Linked DNA regions of Saccharomyces cerevisiae S288C. The gene in region 2 interacts genetically with the main gene of each other region. Each region holds a gene or a part of one and is shown on either strand. Other genes may lie near its edges.

Evidence for each region.
Region 1: mutations in SLM3 (region 2) and SPR3 together harm fitness more than expected from each alone (negative genetic interaction), as found in Saccharomyces cerevisiae (2 studies listed by BioGRID).
Region 3: mutations in SLM3 (region 2) and KTR3 together harm fitness more than expected from each alone (negative genetic interaction), as found in Saccharomyces cerevisiae (2 studies listed by BioGRID).
Region 4: mutations in SLM3 (region 2) and MRS4 together harm fitness more than expected from each alone (negative genetic interaction), as found in Saccharomyces cerevisiae (2 studies listed by BioGRID).

Annotation. Positions count from the first base shown.
Region 1 is NC_001139.9:604,915-609,943, reverse strand, and holds SPR3 (septin SPR3), read right to left. Parts: upstream 2,382-5,029; coding exon 843-2,381; downstream 1-842. Other genes in the region: PEF1 (Pef1p), read right to left, coding at 2,801-3,808; LST7 (Lst7p), read left to right, coding at 4,443-5,029. UniProt on the Saccharomyces cerevisiae protein: Septins are GTPases involved in cytokinesis that assemble into filaments and form a ring at the cleavage site. May act by recruiting MYO1 and HOF1, a protein involved in septation, to the site of cleavage.
Region 2 is NC_001136.10:391,792-396,076, forward strand, and holds SLM3 (tRNA-5-taurinomethyluridine 2-sulfurtransferase), read right to left. Parts: upstream 2,122-4,285; coding exon 868-2,121; downstream 1-867. Other genes in the region: GPR1 (Gpr1p), read right to left, coding at 1-266; ATP-dependent RNA helicase DBP10, read left to right, coding at 2,426-4,285. UniProt on the Saccharomyces cerevisiae protein: Catalyzes the 2-thiolation of uridine at the wobble position (U34) of mitochondrial tRNA(Lys), tRNA(Glu) and tRNA(Gln).
Region 3 is NC_001134.8:631,254-635,584, reverse strand, and holds KTR3 (mannosyltransferase KTR3), read right to left. Parts: upstream 1,964-4,331; coding exon 749-1,963; downstream 1-748. Other genes in the region: FTH1 (Fth1p), read right to left, coding at 1-439; LDH1 (triacylglycerol lipase), read left to right, coding at 2,204-3,331; COS111 (Cos111p), read right to left, coding at 3,643-4,331. UniProt on the Saccharomyces cerevisiae protein: Possible glycosyltransferase that transfers an alpha-D-mannosyl residue from GDP-mannose into lipid-linked oligosaccharide, forming an alpha-(1->2)-D-mannosyl-D-mannose linkage.
Region 4 is NC_001143.9:531,375-535,315, forward strand, and holds MRS4 (Fe(2+) transporter), read right to left. Parts: upstream 2,091-3,941; coding exon 1,176-2,090; downstream 1-1,175. Other genes in the region: HFL1 (Hfl1p), read left to right, coding at 1-828; sphinganine kinase YSR3, read right to left, coding at 2,693-3,907. UniProt on the Saccharomyces cerevisiae protein: MRS4 suppresses a mitochondrial splice defect in the first intron of the COB gene. It may act as a carrier, exerting its suppressor activity via modulation of solute concentrations in the mitochondrion (possibly of cations). Not essential.

The DNA.
Region 1 (5,029 bases), on a different chromosome or scaffold from region 2:
CTGCCCTCCGCACCCGCACGTGACTACACCGGGTAACGAATGGATTGCGTAATATACCGATTTTTACTTTTTACACTTTTTTGTTTCCTATACGACGCGGACGAAGAGAAAGTCTTCTGCGCCAAGGCCGAAAAGAAAAATTTGAAGAAAACATTCTCAGATGCGAATCTACTTTTACATCATCTTCTACGTAGGCCCTTTTTTAGTTCCTTTTTTTTTTCTCCCTCGGTCTGTTTAATCATAGTAAAATCAGATATTGTCAAAAATTGTATTCATTGAATGGAGAGTACTTAAACTTCACATCCTAACATTAGAGATGCCAGAAAAAACATATAGGTATAAGTGAAATCATCATTATGATAAACGAGACGGATGAAAGGAGAAAAAACTGAAAAGAAAAAAAGGGCGGATTGACAATTCAAGAAAAAGGCAAAAAGTAAAGGAAGGTAACATCACTTGATATCGCACCCTTCTTTGCATTGCCTTGTGGTTACCGTACCACTCTTGCTTATGATTTTTTTTTCTTTTTGCGCGCGCTAGGCTGAAATGTAGAGGTTCAAGGTATGATAACAGCGGACAAAGGTATATGATGTCGCGCATTTGATGCCTTAAATACAATTTTTTTTTTTCCCTCCTCCGTCGAAAAAACGCTGTGAAGAATAAAAAAAAATTGTATTTTGTATTACCCGGATTTACTTTAGTCTCACATTGTATTGTTAGGGTTTTGCTACTTATGGTAAAACTGCCGCTAAAAAAATATTCATTTCTATCCTAATTGTATTTTTATTATGTAGAGCAAAGCTTGCGCGAAATTATTGGCTTTTTTTTTTTTTTAATTAATACTACCTTTTGATGTGAACGTTTACTAAAGTAGCACTATCTGTGGAATGGCTGTTGGAACTTTTTCCGATTAACAGCTTGTATTCCAAGTCCTGACATTCCAGTTGTAAGTTTTCCAACTTGTGATTCAATTGTTCAATCTCTTGGTTAAAATTCTCTTGTTCCATGAATAGGCTCTTTTTCCAGTCTCGAAATTTTGAAATTTCTCTGTTGGACAGCTCGTTGAATTTTTTCTTAGCTTCTAATTGTCTAGTTATAAATTCAGGATCCCATTCTGTAGCCACCTTATCCATGACCGTTTTATTAATTATTTCATAGCACTTGTAATTTTTGAGTTTGTTTTCCTCGATTTCATCGAAGTTCATTTCTTCCTCCAAAAATTTCCTTTGTTCTTCCGTTATGTCAACACTTTTCGTTGTTAAGCAATCTCTGGCCTTTAATAGCCTAGTTCTTAGCATTTCAGATCTGCATTTTTCATAATAATCCTCGGTACTTTCTACAAGATCAATTAAATTCCAATCAAAAATCGTCTTTTGCAAGATTTTGAAGTCACAGTACTTTTCATTTTCAATGTCAACAGCGCCCCATTTGTATTGTCTTCCTTTAACTTTTTCGCCCTTTTCATTAAAAATGTACTCATTAGATGCAATTATACTGAATGGATATTTTTGAAAAATATCTTGTGTTGCATTCAAAACTTCATCGCCGAAAAAGAAACATACAGGGATATCTTGTACTCTTATTATTTCTCTAACTTGTGTTTTGAAGTTTTTCAATTCCTCTTTCGTTAGCAAATCTGATTTAGCAATAACCGGGATTAAATTCACTCTCTTCGCTAATTTTTTCATTGTTACGACGTCTAAAGTATCAATTCCCTTATTTGAAGGTCTCAGAAAGTACAAACAACAATGGACTCTATTATCAACCATTTTTGTCCTATCAGGTTGTTCTTCTTGGAAAATGTACGATCTTATTTCTTCATCAATATAGTTAACCATTGTCCTCCACGTAAATGCATTATCCATATTGTTACCAAAACCAGGTGTATCGATGACGTTGAAATTAAGGTGTGTTCCATCTCCTTCTACAATGCTTTTATAACGAATAATAGGTTTGTTTTCTTTGATGTCATCATCAATTAAAGAAGTAGAAAATAAGGAATTGATAAACGTGGTTTTACCCAATCCACTTTGACCCGCCACCATCAGCGTAAAATCAATTCCATTTTTGGCATTCAACAACTCACGTTGACGTGGTAAGTTTTTGATACCGATGTCTTGGCCGTGTGAATTGGTGTTTATTTCTTGTGCTTTCTTGTTATCTAACAATGGAAGGTCCCTGTTCCTGCATTTACCGTTAACAAAAGAGGATGACCTCTGTCTTCTGTGTTTCAGTTCAGGGCTTTTCGGAGGATGTGAATCGACGGCGTACTGTCCTTGGGAACTTTGTCTACGTATTTTCACTTCCTCAGCGAATCCAGAGACTATCTTGGGAAATTCGACAGGACAGTCTGTTGACAACCGACTCCCTTTTGACTTCATAATAAAAATTCAATGACGCAAAAGGAATTTTAGGTTTTTATTATTTATTTATTTATTTCTGTTAATTGATCCTTTTCTTTCCACTACCAACAACAAAAAAGGGGGGAAAAAGATGTATAATCTAAAAGACACTAATCTGCTCTTGATATCCTTATTATGTAATGGAATAACTCATATAAATGTAAAATAGAACTTCAAATTAATATTATAATGATAGTCGAGGTCAGACACACTTATAATACATTAAGTAAAGAAAAAAAAATGTCTGTCATCGAGGTCTCTTTTGTGTCGCTAACAAAACATCACTAAATACGAAGACACTTTGCATGGGAAGGATGCAGCAAATGGCAAACTAACGGGCCATTGATTGGTTTACCTCTTCTATTTGTATTACGACCAGAAAGAACGAATGGTTTTCATCAATGAGGTAGGAAACGACCTAAATATAATGTAGCATCGATAAAATCTTTGTACTGTATGGTTGCAATGCCTTCTTGATTAGTATCGAATTTCCTGAATAATTTTGTTAATCTCATTAGCCAAACTAACGCCTCAACGAATTTATCAAACTTTAGTTCTTTTCCTGTTCCATTTCTGTTTATAAACTCAGCATATTGGTCAAATGTTTTCTCGCTAACTTCAAAAGGTATTAGATATCCTAGTTCTTGAAGTGAGTTATGAAATTCGCTTACAGAAATGGTGAGCGATCCGTTGATATCATTGTCCACATAAACTTTTCTCCAACTTTTCACTCTTTTGTATAGGGCGATGAATTCTGCCTGGTTGACAGTGCCAAACCTGGAAGCACCAAATAAATTTATCAGCGCATCTACTGATGATATACAAAAATGGGAGTTGTCGTCGTTTTGTAGTAAGTTCTGTAGTTCCTCAGCTGTCAGTCGGTTTTTGCCCTTTACATCATGGTTATGAAATAGCTGTGTGGCCACTTGCATGTCTCGTACATCTTCTCTGCTATCGAACGAAGCAGGTGCAACTTTCTTCAAGAGTTGTGCAGGCACTGCTTGATTGTGAATTAGGGGAGGAGGAGAGGAAGCTATCCGTTGAGCGGAAGTGTTCAAGTTGTTATAATGGGTTGGCGCTGGAGGTATAGGCCTGCCTGCTGGTTTCTGTGCGATAACATTATATCTAGGATCCACAGGTGTTTTCGTATGTCTTGGAGAATAACTTTGGGGAGAACCATAGGAGTGGTGACCGTTTTCTGCTCTGTTTTTGTTATATTGAGTTTGTAAGGGAATTGGAGCTGAGTGGACTCTAGTGTTGGGAGTTTGTGCTTGAGTAACCTTTATTTGTTGCTGTCGTTGTTTCTCTTTCTCGAATTCACGTCTAGTTTCCTCCATGGCCTCTTTAGGTGTAGCATAGCGTACAAAGTCATCGCCAGCAGCGTATTTGAGCTTCTTTGCACACATCGTTTAATGGTGTAGGTTTATAGTTATTTTATGCGGTATACGGTATACATACATGTTCAGTGAAATAGCAATTCCCATCGCTTTGTATTCCTGCGGTTTTTTTATTCGGATAGTTTCTAAATAAAAAAAATCGACAAGACCCTGAGCCAGATGACTGAAATTATCAGTTGTTAAAAGCGATGGAGCACTATCCAATATGCGTATTGTTTTCTTCTTCTGAGTTATGTATATAATGGTGAACTACAAGATTATATAGATTCAGGTGCAAGGTATTGAGCATGACACATGCTGTGTGTATCGTGGCCTATTCACTGTGGCCTATTTCATTCCACTTCCACTGAATATCATTTCAAATGTATTAAAAGACTTTTGAAAGTAACACTGATAGTATGTTGTAGTTGTTCTTGGAAATGTTGAACCAAACCGATTGTTCATTCGCCAAGTTCGAAGATGCCGTTTTCGTACTTGCCAGAAAAAACACGCTTGAAAAAGAAAATCTTGAGTAAAAAGAAAAGGGCTTAGGAATCTTCTATTCGATGACCATCAAACGATAAATGAAGCAATAAAGTCCAACTAACTAGCACCTCCATAAAATAAGTTAGCGTTTAAATGGTTGATGAAATAGATGCATAGAATGTCCTCGACAGTGATTTCATTGGCTCATTTCTGCGACAAGCATGGCCCAAGGATCATATCAGTTACACAATCCGCAGAAAAGGGAACGCTAGGTGAAGAATTACTAGTGCCTGATTATCCAACTGAATCATATTGCGAATCATGTCTTTTACAGTTTCCTGAAGAGTCAACTAGATCGATGCGGTGCTTCATCGAAGATGTTCCGTTTATAACTACCCAATATTCTTCTATAAGATACCAATTGCTAAATTCTATTATTAAAAGAGCCTTTTCTGAAGAAACAATGATTTATGATAATATGCCTTTTATATTTTTTGATGATCTTAGAGGATTGAACTTAGTTATAGGCTTTAAACTGTATGATGAAAATGCTAGAGGCAATGAAAGAAGATATTGTTTTATTTTAACAGTCGATTCCAGAAGCCATGACGATTCTATGAAAATGTTGAGTGAACACTGGAACTTTATCATCGGTGGATTTGATAAAATGATTGCATATATTAAAAACATTCATAAAAGCGAATTCTTGGGGAAAAATAAAACGGTGGAAAACAATTTGGAAACATTGAATAATAACGCTTTCAT
Region 2 (4,285 bases):
TGTCTGAAGACTTTTCGTCTCTTATCCATTTTAGAAAGGAAGAACATTCCGAGGCAACCGGCAATAAGGGACACGGCAGACGCAGTTATAGCTATTATTCTTAACTGCAACAGTTGCGGAGCCGTGAATGTAGAGGTCATCCCCGGCAACCCCAGCAGCTGGTTAACCGTGGTAGTGTTAAGCTGTCGGAGAGAATCAACTCTCTTTTCTAGTAAGGATGACCCTTTCAACGCGTTTAAATTCGGGGGAAATCCCTCAGTTATCATTTTGAGTTGGAGAGTTTGCTTTATTCGTCACACTTCGGATCACTTGTTTGTCGTTTTTTTTTTTTGGTGACTCTTACTGCTTTTTATAGACACACACACACACACACACACACACCTTCTTCTGGATACCGTAGAGAAAGGGATGTAGACAAATAAAAAAGGACAAAAGCTAGAAAAAAGACGGAAGAGGACGTGCGATTGCGTTGAATATGACCTTCGCAAATAAATATTAATAAATATGACGTTTTTGCCGCAATGCTAATTCTATAACCCACTCCTTCGTTGCCTTCTATGCTTTAATTAAACAATGGGTCCGGCTCAAACCTGGAAGGAAGATTTATAAATCTTGAAAAGAAAAAAAAGTGTGATTTAAAAAAATGAAAAAGAAAAACAAGAGGGCAAAAAAAAATGAACTACTTATTGAGACATGATTCAAGGGAAAAGACCTTCATATATACAGATTACTTTTCGAAATGGTCAGCCGCTTCATGAGCTCTTCTTGGCTGTATCGTACCACCGTGGTTCAATTAGGCAAGTATGTTGCTAAGATTAATTGCTGCGGCGCATCGTATAAGGTGATATACTAAATTCATTATCATCACTATGCATGGGTGTCATTATTATTAACATGGGAAATGGGCCCACTCCCAAGGACTCTATCGTCGATATATAGACAGCACGATTGCCCAGGAGTTATGGCACGTTGTTTTGAGGCTAAGTGTATTGTTATGTCGAGGTTGTCGGCAGAGCGATTCAGTTTGCACGATTTAATTTGGACTGGGACCTGCAGGGACCGGAATTGTAATGTCAAGGCACCAGTATTTTGGAAAGCGTTTATAGTGTCCTCCCTGGGGCCCAAAGACGAAAAGTTTTCGATTCGCATAGTGTCACTGTATAGCGCCGGATTATCTCTTCCTCTGACTATCAAGATTTCGTTGGTATCCCTTAGTTTTTCACTGACAAACCAGGTCCCTTGGTAATTAGGGTCAGCTTGTGGCATGGATATGCCCACTTTCTGTCCAATTGTGTAAGACCACAATCCATCGTGTCTGCCCCATGTCGTTTTGGCACCGGATTGTGGGTCAACGGTAATGATATCACCCGGTGAACTGGGTAGGTAGTGCTTTAAAAAATTCTTGAACTTCCCATGCTGGGAATTGTTGACGAAGCATATGCCCTGTGAATCAGGCTTTTCTGCAGTCGGGAGGCCTGCATACTTCGCTAAATCTCGTACTTCTGGTTTCGTTAGATGGCCAATGGGTAGCAACAAAGATGACAAAACAGTGGAGTTGATTTGTGAAAGGTAATAGCTTTGATCCTTGGGCCTATAAATGCTTCTCAGTAAATGGAATAATCCTTTTCCATTCATTTCCTGCATAACTCGGGCGTAATGACCAGTAACAAGCCAATAGTTACCCGTCCCATACTTCTCATCCAGCCACTCTCTCAGCTTGCCGAACTTGACGAACTTGTTGCAACCGATATCTGGATTGGGTGTCGACCCTTCACTGTAGCCTCTCAACATTGGTTCAAATACATCTATCCAATAATCTTGCTCAAAATTAACTTTGTCAACTCGGATGTTCAAATGCTTAGCGACACGGTTCACATCTCTCCAATCCCTCTCGTAGCATGGCTCCTTGCCAGGGTCGTCCAAAGATTGTGATTCAGACCAGTTCTGCATATATACTCCTCGGGTATTTGGAAATTCTCCGGCAAATAGTGCTGCCGCCACAGAGGAATCTACCCCAGATGACATTGCCACTATCACGTTGTCAAACTTTGCCGGTAGCCGCTGTGGTCTGTACGGTGAAGCACTCCTCCGTCCTATTAAATTTAAATATCTTGCCAGCATTGTTATCTGACTTGAATCGATTGCCAAATCAATACGCTCACATTTTTAACGTTCTTGTATGTTTCCAAACTTTCATTCTTTTACAATAAAGCAATGTTTTGCCTCAACTATTGAAAGAAAAAAATAAGAGACCAATTGTTACTACCCGGCGCTCTTAAAATTTTCAAGCGATGAGATGAAATTCATACAAAATGGCTTTACAGAGAGTTACTAGTACTTCACTAACTTCCTACTGCTTGAAGTAAAGTCACTAAAAGTACTTTTGTCATTTAAGTTACCACCACATATCTCTTTAACCTAGAATATGGCAGGCGTGCAGAAAAGAAAAAGGGATCTCGAAGATCAAGACGACAATGGAAGCGAGGAGGACGACATCGCCTTTGATATTGCAAATGAAATTGCCTTAAATGATAGTGAGAGTGATGCTAACGACTCCGATAGTGAAGTTGAAGCTGATTATGGTCCCAACGATGTCCAGGATGTGATCGAGTACAGCTCAGATGAAGAAGAAGGAGTGAACAATAAGAAGAAGGCTGAAAACAAGGACATCAAGAAAAAAAAGAATAGTAAGAAGGAAATAGCAGCATTTCCAATGTTAGAAATGTCAGATGATGAAAACAATGCATCTGGTAAAACTCAAACCGGTGATGATGAGGATGATGTCAATGAATATTTCTCCACAAATAACTTGGAGAAAACAAAGCATAAAAAAGGTAGTTTTCCCAGCTTTGGCCTATCCAAAATTGTATTGAACAATATTAAAAGGAAGGGATTTCGCCAACCCACTCCTATTCAAAGGAAGACTATCCCATTAATTTTGCAAAGTAGGGATATTGTTGGTATGGCACGTACCGGTTCTGGTAAGACTGCAGCATTCATCTTGCCAATGGTGGAAAAATTGAAAAGTCACTCAGGTAAAATTGGCGCCCGTGCAGTCATCTTATCGCCTTCCAGAGAATTAGCCATGCAGACTTTCAACGTTTTCAAGGATTTTGCCAGAGGAACAGAACTAAGAAGCGTCCTCTTGACTGGTGGTGATTCCTTGGAAGAACAATTTGGCATGATGATGACCAACCCAGACGTTATTATTGCAACACCTGGTAGATTTTTACATCTGAAAGTTGAAATGAACCTCGATTTGAAGAGTGTTGAGTACGTTGTTTTCGATGAAGCTGATAGGTTGTTCGAAATGGGTTTTCAAGAACAGTTGAATGAATTACTTGCATCTTTGCCTACAACAAGACAGACTTTGTTGTTTTCTGCTACTCTACCTAATTCATTGGTTGATTTTGTTAAGGCTGGTTTGGTTAATCCAGTTTTGGTTCGTTTGGACGCGGAAACGAAAGTTTCAGAGAACTTAGAAATGCTTTTTCTATCCAGTAAAAACGCAGATAGAGAGGCGAACCTATTATATATTTTGCAAGAAATCATAAAGATTCCGTTAGCCACTAGTGAACAACTTCAAAAGCTGCAAAATAGTAACAATGAGGCAGATAGTGACTCAGATGATGAAAATGATCGCCAAAAGAAGAGGAGGAATTTCAAGAAGGAAAAGTTCCGTAAACAAAAAATGCCTGCAGCTAATGAACTTCCTTCTGAAAAAGCAACTATTCTGTTCGTTCCAACAAGACATCATGTGGAATACATTTCTCAACTCTTAAGAGACTGCGGATACTTGATTTCGTACATCTACGGTACTTTGGACCAACATGCTCGTAAACGTCAATTATATAATTTTAGGGCGGGCTTAACTTCCATTTTGGTTGTTACAGATGTTGCTGCAAGAGGTGTCGATATTCCAATGTTAGCCAATGTTATTAATTACACATTACCTGGTTCATCAAAAATTTTTGTACATCGTGTAGGTAGAACTGCAAGAGCCGGTAACAAAGGTTGGGCATATTCCATTGTCGCTGAAAATGAATTACCTTACCTATTAGATTTGGAGCTATTTTTGGGGAAAAAAATTCTTCTAACACCAATGTACGATAGTCTAGTCGACGTGATGAAGAAAAGGTGGATAGATGAAGGAAAACCGGAATATCAATTTCAACCCCCAAAGCTTTCTTACACAAAAAGACTCGTTCTAGGTTCATGTCCAAGACTGGATGTTGAAGGCTTAGGTGATCTTTATAAGAATCTGATGTCCTCTAATTTTGACCTT
Region 3 (4,331 bases), on a different chromosome or scaffold from region 2:
ACATACACAGCAACAAACCAAATGCGCCGCCCGCTAGAATTTGTATTTTTAATTTCTGATATAGCTTAACGTTGTCAGCCGTATGTTCATCGGACTCGCGGTCCTGGTCTCTAAGCTCATTAGAGTACTCGTAAATTTCTTCTTCTTCCTCCACATTTAGCGGCCTCGATTTATTATTAGCAGCCGTAGCGGACGTTCCAATAGCATTACCGTCTGAAGGCCCTGCTTGTAAGAAGGCAGTGGTCGAATCTGCGTTTGTGTTCGTATTTGGACTTGGAAGACCAGCAGAAGAGGAACTTCCTTCAAACGGGCTGTCGTCCTCAACAGACAGACCTTGTTTGACGATCGTCAACAGGATAGAAACAATGACAACAATTTCTAAGGATTCCCTTAAGAAAATGAAGAATATCTGGAAAGAAAAATAATCCTCAAACGCCATGGTGACTAGAAATATGAACACCACTCTAGTTCTCTATTCTTAGAGTTTTTTCGCTTTTCTGTAGAGGACAAAAGTTCAGTAAGATGCTTGATTCTTTATAATATCAAGTTTGTGTTTTTGTAGGCTGGTTTAGATACAATTTTGCTTTTCTCTCTTCATCTCCGGCCGCACCGCACCCATTTTTGAACCCAAGAAGGCACTAGAATAAAGTGAGGTGGCTACTACATTGAATTATGTGTATATAGATAGATACATGTTGACGTTTTAGCACCTGTTTTGACGGAGCAGGCGCTATTTGTAGTTTGGTTTTTAAATTCCTGGTGGAAGCTTGTAATTTCCTGCTGAAAAGTACTTTCTAGTACAGAAGTAGTCAGGAGTCCAGGTGACGTCCTTGCTAGGTTCGCAGATACACTTGTTTTGTAGTCTAATCTTCTGTTCGATAGGACAAGAGGTGAAATCTGGATGATGGAATCCAAGACCGTCAAAGAAATGGATTTCTGACTTGTCCAAGAACAAAGAGGCAGCGATGGAGTGCACTGGCGCATCCCCCCATCTTTCGTAGAAGAATCCACCAGAACTGTCTAAGTAATCAAAGTATTCTCTGTATGCATCGGACCTGAAGAAGTCTAAAGAGCCGATTTCGAAGTTGGTCCAGAAATGACACATATTATAAGTGTCACCATCATCATTCGAAATGAATTTCATGAGGTTATTTTTGTGTAAGAATTTAGGATTTTTCTTGATGAATTTCTTTGTCGTTTCCCACAAGGTTGGGATTGTGCGCTCATATTCACTTACCGAAAGAATGAATCCATATTTCTTGTTATTTACTTTTAAAAACTTGAATATGTCATACTGAATATCACAGAATAAAGTGATATCGGTATCCACTCTCCAAAACCATTCGTACTCCTCCAGTAGTGGGTGTCTCCATATGAACCCTGACTGGAAACGGCACATGTGACGGTAAGGCACGGAACTACCATATGGAATATCCAATTTTCCCATTGCAAGCCTTTTCTCATCGAATTTTTCAGTATCGATCCAAGATGGAATGGACCAATGGTCCTTTGGGATTGTCCCATATTTTGCCTTGCCTGAAACCAATGCACTGGTAACACGTTTAAACTCATCACTAAATGGTTGGTCATTCAAGAACACCCAATCGTAGTGATATCTGTTATTGAACCTGTCTTCAACATGTCTAATAGATTTTACCAAGTTCCATAAATCTGAATTCCTGGCCAATGTGACCATAACACCCTTTTCCTTCTTTCCATCGTCCACGGGATGGATTACTCCTTGTGACTTGTCAGTAAACGGCATCAAATAATCCTTACTGGCTACACGACTGACACTGGTGCCCTGAGCTATTGGTACCTCTGGGGACCTTGAGCCACTCATGAAAAATAAAAAGGATAACACTATGATGAGCCCAATGAATGATGATCTGATTCCCTTTTGGTATTTTCTAATCAGCAATGCCGATTTGGGCATTAGCTTCTTTTTGTGGTGCACAGACATAATTGCACGCTGGATATTGATAGTGTTGTTGTCCGCAGACGAGGCCTGACCTTCTTTATGCAAATTTTAACCATCAGTTACGTTGTTTTCTTCGAAAAGTTTCAAGAGGACGCGCCATTCTTTTAACCCGGCAATTTTAAAGGGTTCATTAATAAAGAACTACCAAGATGGTACAGTCGCATTTGGATCGTAACTCAACGTTAGAAGAAAGCCTTAAACCGAGAACTTTTTCTCTTGGTAATGAATATGGCAGAACGTGCAGAAGCAACAAAAAGTTGGTCCTGTGAGCCCCTTTCTGGAAAGACGCTAGAAGAGATTGTTCAAAATGCAGAAAATGCAGCTGATTTGGTAGCTTACATTCGCAAACCAGAGGTAGATTTGGACTTTAGGTTGAAGTTTATCGCAGAACATGAGGAGTTTTTTAATGTACAACTATCGGATCGAAATTCAAGAATAAGGACGTGTCACAACTTGAGCGATAAAGGGATACGGGGTGATACTGTTTTCGTCTTCGTGCCTGGGTTGGCTGGCAACTTAGAACAATTTGAACCCTTACTCGAGCTTGTGGACTCTGATCAAAAGGCATTTTTGACGTTAGATCTGCCCGGCTTTGGTCATAGTTCAGAATGGAGCGACTACCCCATGCTGAAAGTGGTGGAACTTATTTTCGTTCTTGTATGTGACGTCTTAAGAAAATGGTCTACAGCGGTGCCGAATAATGATAACGTAAATCCATTTAACGGTCATAAGATAGTGCTTGTAGGGCATTCTATGGGTTGTTTTCTGGCATGTCATCTTTACGAGCAGCACATGGCTGATACAAAAGCGGTACAAACGCTAGTTTTGTTGACGCCCCCCAAAGCACATATCGAGCAGCTTTCTAAGGATAAACATATTATCCAGTGGGCTCTCTATGGTGTGTTTAAATTGCCATGGCTATTTGACGTTTATAGAAACAAATTCGATCAGGTAAAAGGTCTACAAAGTTCCGGCATCAAGCAGTATTTTTATCAACAAGGTGATGATGTCAAGTTGAAATACAGGAAGTTCTGGCAATTTAAAAACAACATAAGCAACAAAAGTAGAACCATCATAGGTTATTTACTAGGATGGGAAACTGTTGATTGGGTTAAATTCAATGGTGTATTGACGCAAACGGATATGAAACAGAAAATTATAATATTTGGCGCTGAAAAAGATCCTATAGCTCCTATTGAAAATTTGGAATTTTACAAACAAACTATAAATAAAGAATGTCTTCGTAAAGTGATTATTTTACCTGACTGTTCTCATAATTTATGCTTCGACCGTCCAGAATTGGTGTGTGAAAACTTTCAACGAGAGGTGATTGATAATTCCAAATTGTAGAAGGTTTTCTAGATTTCACATTGCGTAACTAGATTTTCGTGCACACTGCTACATGAATTGATAAAACAAACCAGAAAAAGTAACTAAGACCAATATTTTCAAATTTTTCATAGTATACTTTATATCGTACATCTTACAAGCAAAAATCAAAGGTAGTGTCTATGTATGCAAAAAAATAGGAAACGAAAAATAAATATAAATAAATAAAGCCATGAAATGTAGAAAGGCTATGCAAAAAAGAAAAAAATAAACATCAATAATATTTGGCCAAATAAATTAACAGAACGTATGCTGTTAAAAGAGAGCAGTCGTTATATGATGCTTTCAGCATAGTAGTTATTTTCGCCAACATTTCTCCTTAGATCAACTCTCCTCAACTCCTTTAACCTACTAATCAAATTGTGTGTAATACTGTCTATTCTCAAAGTTGGTTTTCCAACTTTCATTTTGTCCATATCAATGTCATCATCCACACATAATTTAACCACTAAAGAAACATAATCTTTGGAAACTTTTGTGAGCCAAAATGAAGTTGGCTTTTCTGTTTTTAATATTGTCAACCTGAATTGTAAAGATTCTGCTTCGAGATTGGAATCAGAAGTAGCATCAGCCTCAGATCCGGCCCCATATCTAATATCAAATAAGTTTGATATTTCGAGAATATCCGGGTCTCGGCAACAATAGTTTTTTATATATAGCTTTTCGGACTTGATATTAAAAAGCTCTTCTAATCCTAAATCATCTAAATTTGAAAGATGATCCATAACCATCAATGCGACAAATTCATGCAATTTGGCATTACAAGCCCAGGAAAAATTTCTATCCAAGCCAGAGTCCCGGAAACTGAATAAGTGTCTTTCATAAGAGTTGTTTTCCATGGATTTATAATCCAAATGCTGGCGAAACGTCCTCATTACAAAATACTTTACCATATATTGCCTGCACCACACAATGTCATTCATTTTCACCTTAGTTAAGGAGCAGTAGCCACCTTTTTCTT
Region 4 (3,941 bases), on a different chromosome or scaffold from region 2:
CAGTATGTTTGGTTCAAACCATTTTATTGTTTTGGTACATTGATATGCAGTGCATGGAAGCTACCCAAATTCGAAATATTTTTGAACGTTTTTTATAATATTTCAGTGACTTGGTCACTGTATAGTTTAGCACTATTTTGGAAGTGTCTCTATCCGGAATTAACTCCTTATAAACCATGGTTGAAATTTTTATGTGTCAAATTGATTATTTTTGCCTCTTATTGGCAGAGCATCATAATCCAGGGTCTAGTGGTTACTGGAAAGTTGGGTACGGGAAACCAAGATCGAACCTCTGGATATGTGTACAAGAATGGGCTCCTGTGTATAGAGATGGTGCCTTTCGCCATCTTGCATGCAGTAGCTTTCCCTTGGAACAAATACACAGCATTTAGCATACCTTATGGGGCCAGGATGAAATTCATTTACGCTTTGAAAGATTTTCTTGGTTGCGGTGATCTAATATGGGATTTTAAACAGACTTTGTTTGCTGGTCCCTTGTACTATAATTATAGGAACTTCGATCCTGAAGCCATGGATCTATTAAGCACTAGACAACAATCCGGTGCGACTATGGAAAGACTAAAGCATGGGCTAAGATTTACTGATAATGGAAGAAATAGTTATTGGGTGGCATATGGGAGTATAGATAACAACCTTGTTCCGGAATCAATAGAGGAATCATGGGAAGATGATATTGCTGGTCAGAGAACTTTTCCTGAGGATCCAAATTATCCGGTTGTTCACGACTACACGATGGGCCATCGATATAGTAGATCAATGAATGATTTAAGAAGAGATGTTCAAAGTAGGTCATCAATGGCTTGTTAAATGAGTCGTTAAATGTACGTATATACATAGTTACTGCGCTTTCGGTTATATACAAAATAAAACAACATCTACAAGCAATGCTTTTTTTTCAATTATTGTAACTTGGATGCTTATTCTAATAAAATGAAATAAATGCTACTGTAATTTTTTGCCGGAGGATTGGCTATATATGCAGAGTGGGAGTTGGACGATATCACCATTATTATTATTTTTCTATTATTACCATTGGACTTGTCTTTTGCAGCAACAAAAGTGGCAGCAGCAGCAACAGCACCACCACCAATGCATTTTGGCCTTGCCTTTTATAAGTTGTCAAAAAAAGTTGACCTCGAAAAGGGGAAAAAACATCAATTTTTCATTAAAAAATGCTTAGCACATTCATATGCAGTCCAAGAAATGGCAGTGGCTGGTATATTAGCCACTATCCTTGGTTTCAAACCTCGCCAAAACCCCTTCCAACCATGAACCTCCAGTATGGCTCTTGAGGCTCTACCAAAAGTGTTCGCATCCTTCATTATTTCGATGGAGACAGTTTCGCTGCCTCTAACCTGTAATACAGTCTTTATGCAATCCAACGGTGTAGTTAACGCAGCACATGTTGCACCACTTATCCCACCGCAAAGACAATGAATCAATGGATTGTAGGAATTTTGTGGGTTGAAGAATTTGCTGGCAGATTCATATATCATGAAATTGAACGCTGCAAATGGGATATTCATGGCCAATGTTGTGGGATAGGAGTAGTAAAATGCTGCAAAGCCTTCATTTTGATATATTTGCTTAGTAACATTCCAAACTCTTAGATTAGTATCCAATTGTAGTCTTTGTTTAACGGTGTCAAAGGGGTTCATCAATGCATCCGCAGCAATGGTAGCAATGGTACCACTCAGTGCGGTCTTCATTGGTTGATGAGTTTGCATATCTTCAGGGCTTATCAGGCGAGCTTTGCAAAACTCGTATGTACCAAAATATACTGCATGCGCAGGCCCTGCCCCCAGTATTACCGATTGAACACCCTTCCATAAAGCCATCGAACCTTCCATTGTAGATATTTTGGATATCTGAGATATCATCCCTGTAGAGGCAGCTTTATTCAATCCTGCAGCCTGCACTCGGGTTTTCAGAGCATCTATTGGAAACATCAAAGAATGCTCCATTATACCTGCAAATGCTCCTGCCAGTAACTGGGAATGTAGCGGAGCATGTGATGGAAGAGCTTCGTAGTCGATTTCCTCAGCTATTGACAGTTCTGAAGTATTCATAATATTAACTGATATTTCGGTTGAGTTTTTTACTTCTTCACTTTGTACTTCTCACGAAAGTCTTCGTCAATAAACCTCTGATAAAGTGAAAATTCTATGAGATTCCAATAAAACCTCCAAATATCTTTATATACAGCTTACTACTTAGATAAGATGACGTTCGCCAATGGTAGGCAAAAGATAGCAGGGTGTTCTTGCCTTTCAGTCTTCGCCATGCTCTCATTCAAGAAAGGGTGCCAAAATACCGAAAAGAGACACGATCGGGGGTGTCAAAGTAGCGATTCCTGTGGGTTAAAAGAGGGTGAACCACGGCAAACATGCATGTGTAAAACCCAAAACGCCGATCTAGGGCCTGCGACGCATGGTACGAACATCCTGAAGGTATATAAAAGAGCTAAAGTCTTGACTCATGCCTGAAATCTTGATTTTTCATTGTTATATCCTCTCTATACATTAGTAAGCACCATAGATGGGCTGGCTATCAAAAGCGAGAAAAAAAAAATGCTGAATTCCAAATATGTACTCATCGGGGTGAATTTCAATGATGTGTTATGTAGATACAATATATATGTATAAGTCACTAAATGCATACATACGAGAGTCTACCTTAAGTTTGTCCAAGTGAAAAAAACTGGGCATAGCAAAAAGACGGTTGTAGGTATACCTGCGTATATGAGAAACCTTCCGACGATTTCCACTTTGGAAACACCGCTGTACAATAAACACTCTTCTTCTTCACTTGTCTCGTTATGGAAATGAACCTTTTCGCTTCTATCATCGTGAAATCTGAGTAGTTTAATTAACAGCGTGTAGACAGCTGTCTTGCTAATGACGTCTTTCCAAACAATCACAGAAGCGACACCTACCAGAGGCCTCAAGAACACCTTAGAACCACATGATGCGTACCTACTACATACAAGGTTCCATCCGTATCTTTCGGTTAACCAGTCGCTGCAATCCAGCCCACTGACTACGCCAATGAACGCTACGCTATCTTCGAAACAAGGACATTCATCAATGGGCCTGACGTGGTTAAACAGAATAAACAAGCCCCATGCTACACTCAAAAGGGGAAACCAGAGATGTTCACCAATCTGGAAATTTCGTAAAGCATGCACCACCCAGATTCTTATAAAAAAACAGATAGCTCCAACTGCGGCGCCGCTAAATAAATCCAGCATACCATGCATACCGCAGTAAACTCTACCAAAAACCAGGGTTAAGTAGTAAAATATCACCAGACTCAGTAAAAGAAGCTTTGTTGGCCATACCAGTGTGTCAGATAAACATATTCTCCAAAAGAATAATAGACTTACCGCAGTAGCGTTAGCAGAATGTGAACTGGGTGCACCATATTCTTTCGTAGTGTATTCACTTAGTGTGATTCTGTCAACTGGCGGTGATTTTGGCCTTGGTAGGCACCAATAATCCTTTAAGTAGCCACTCAAATAAATTGAATAACCAAGAACGTAGATCATGTCCCGTGTTAAATCGCGGTATCCAAGCCACACAGGCATGGGAAGCACGATAACATAAAACATGTGGGAACCCATAAGCGAAGTGTATTTGAAATAAACGTCTCTAAAAGGCGTTCTGTGCTTTTTTTGTAAAGAATGTACGAAATCTGATTGGTTGTCTGTGAATCTAGTTAGATACTGCCTTGTTTGAAACCTTAGCCACGACATCTGGCTCTCAAAATGCTCCGCTGGATGATTACCGGGATCTGCCAATAGGTGTTTGCCGCCGGAAGGAGCCATCTGAACCTTAATGGTGTCCTCGGTAACACCCAATTCAGTAACCGTCTGAATAATGGTCATAATTAAATTCTTTTACAGGCTTGCTATTTTGTAT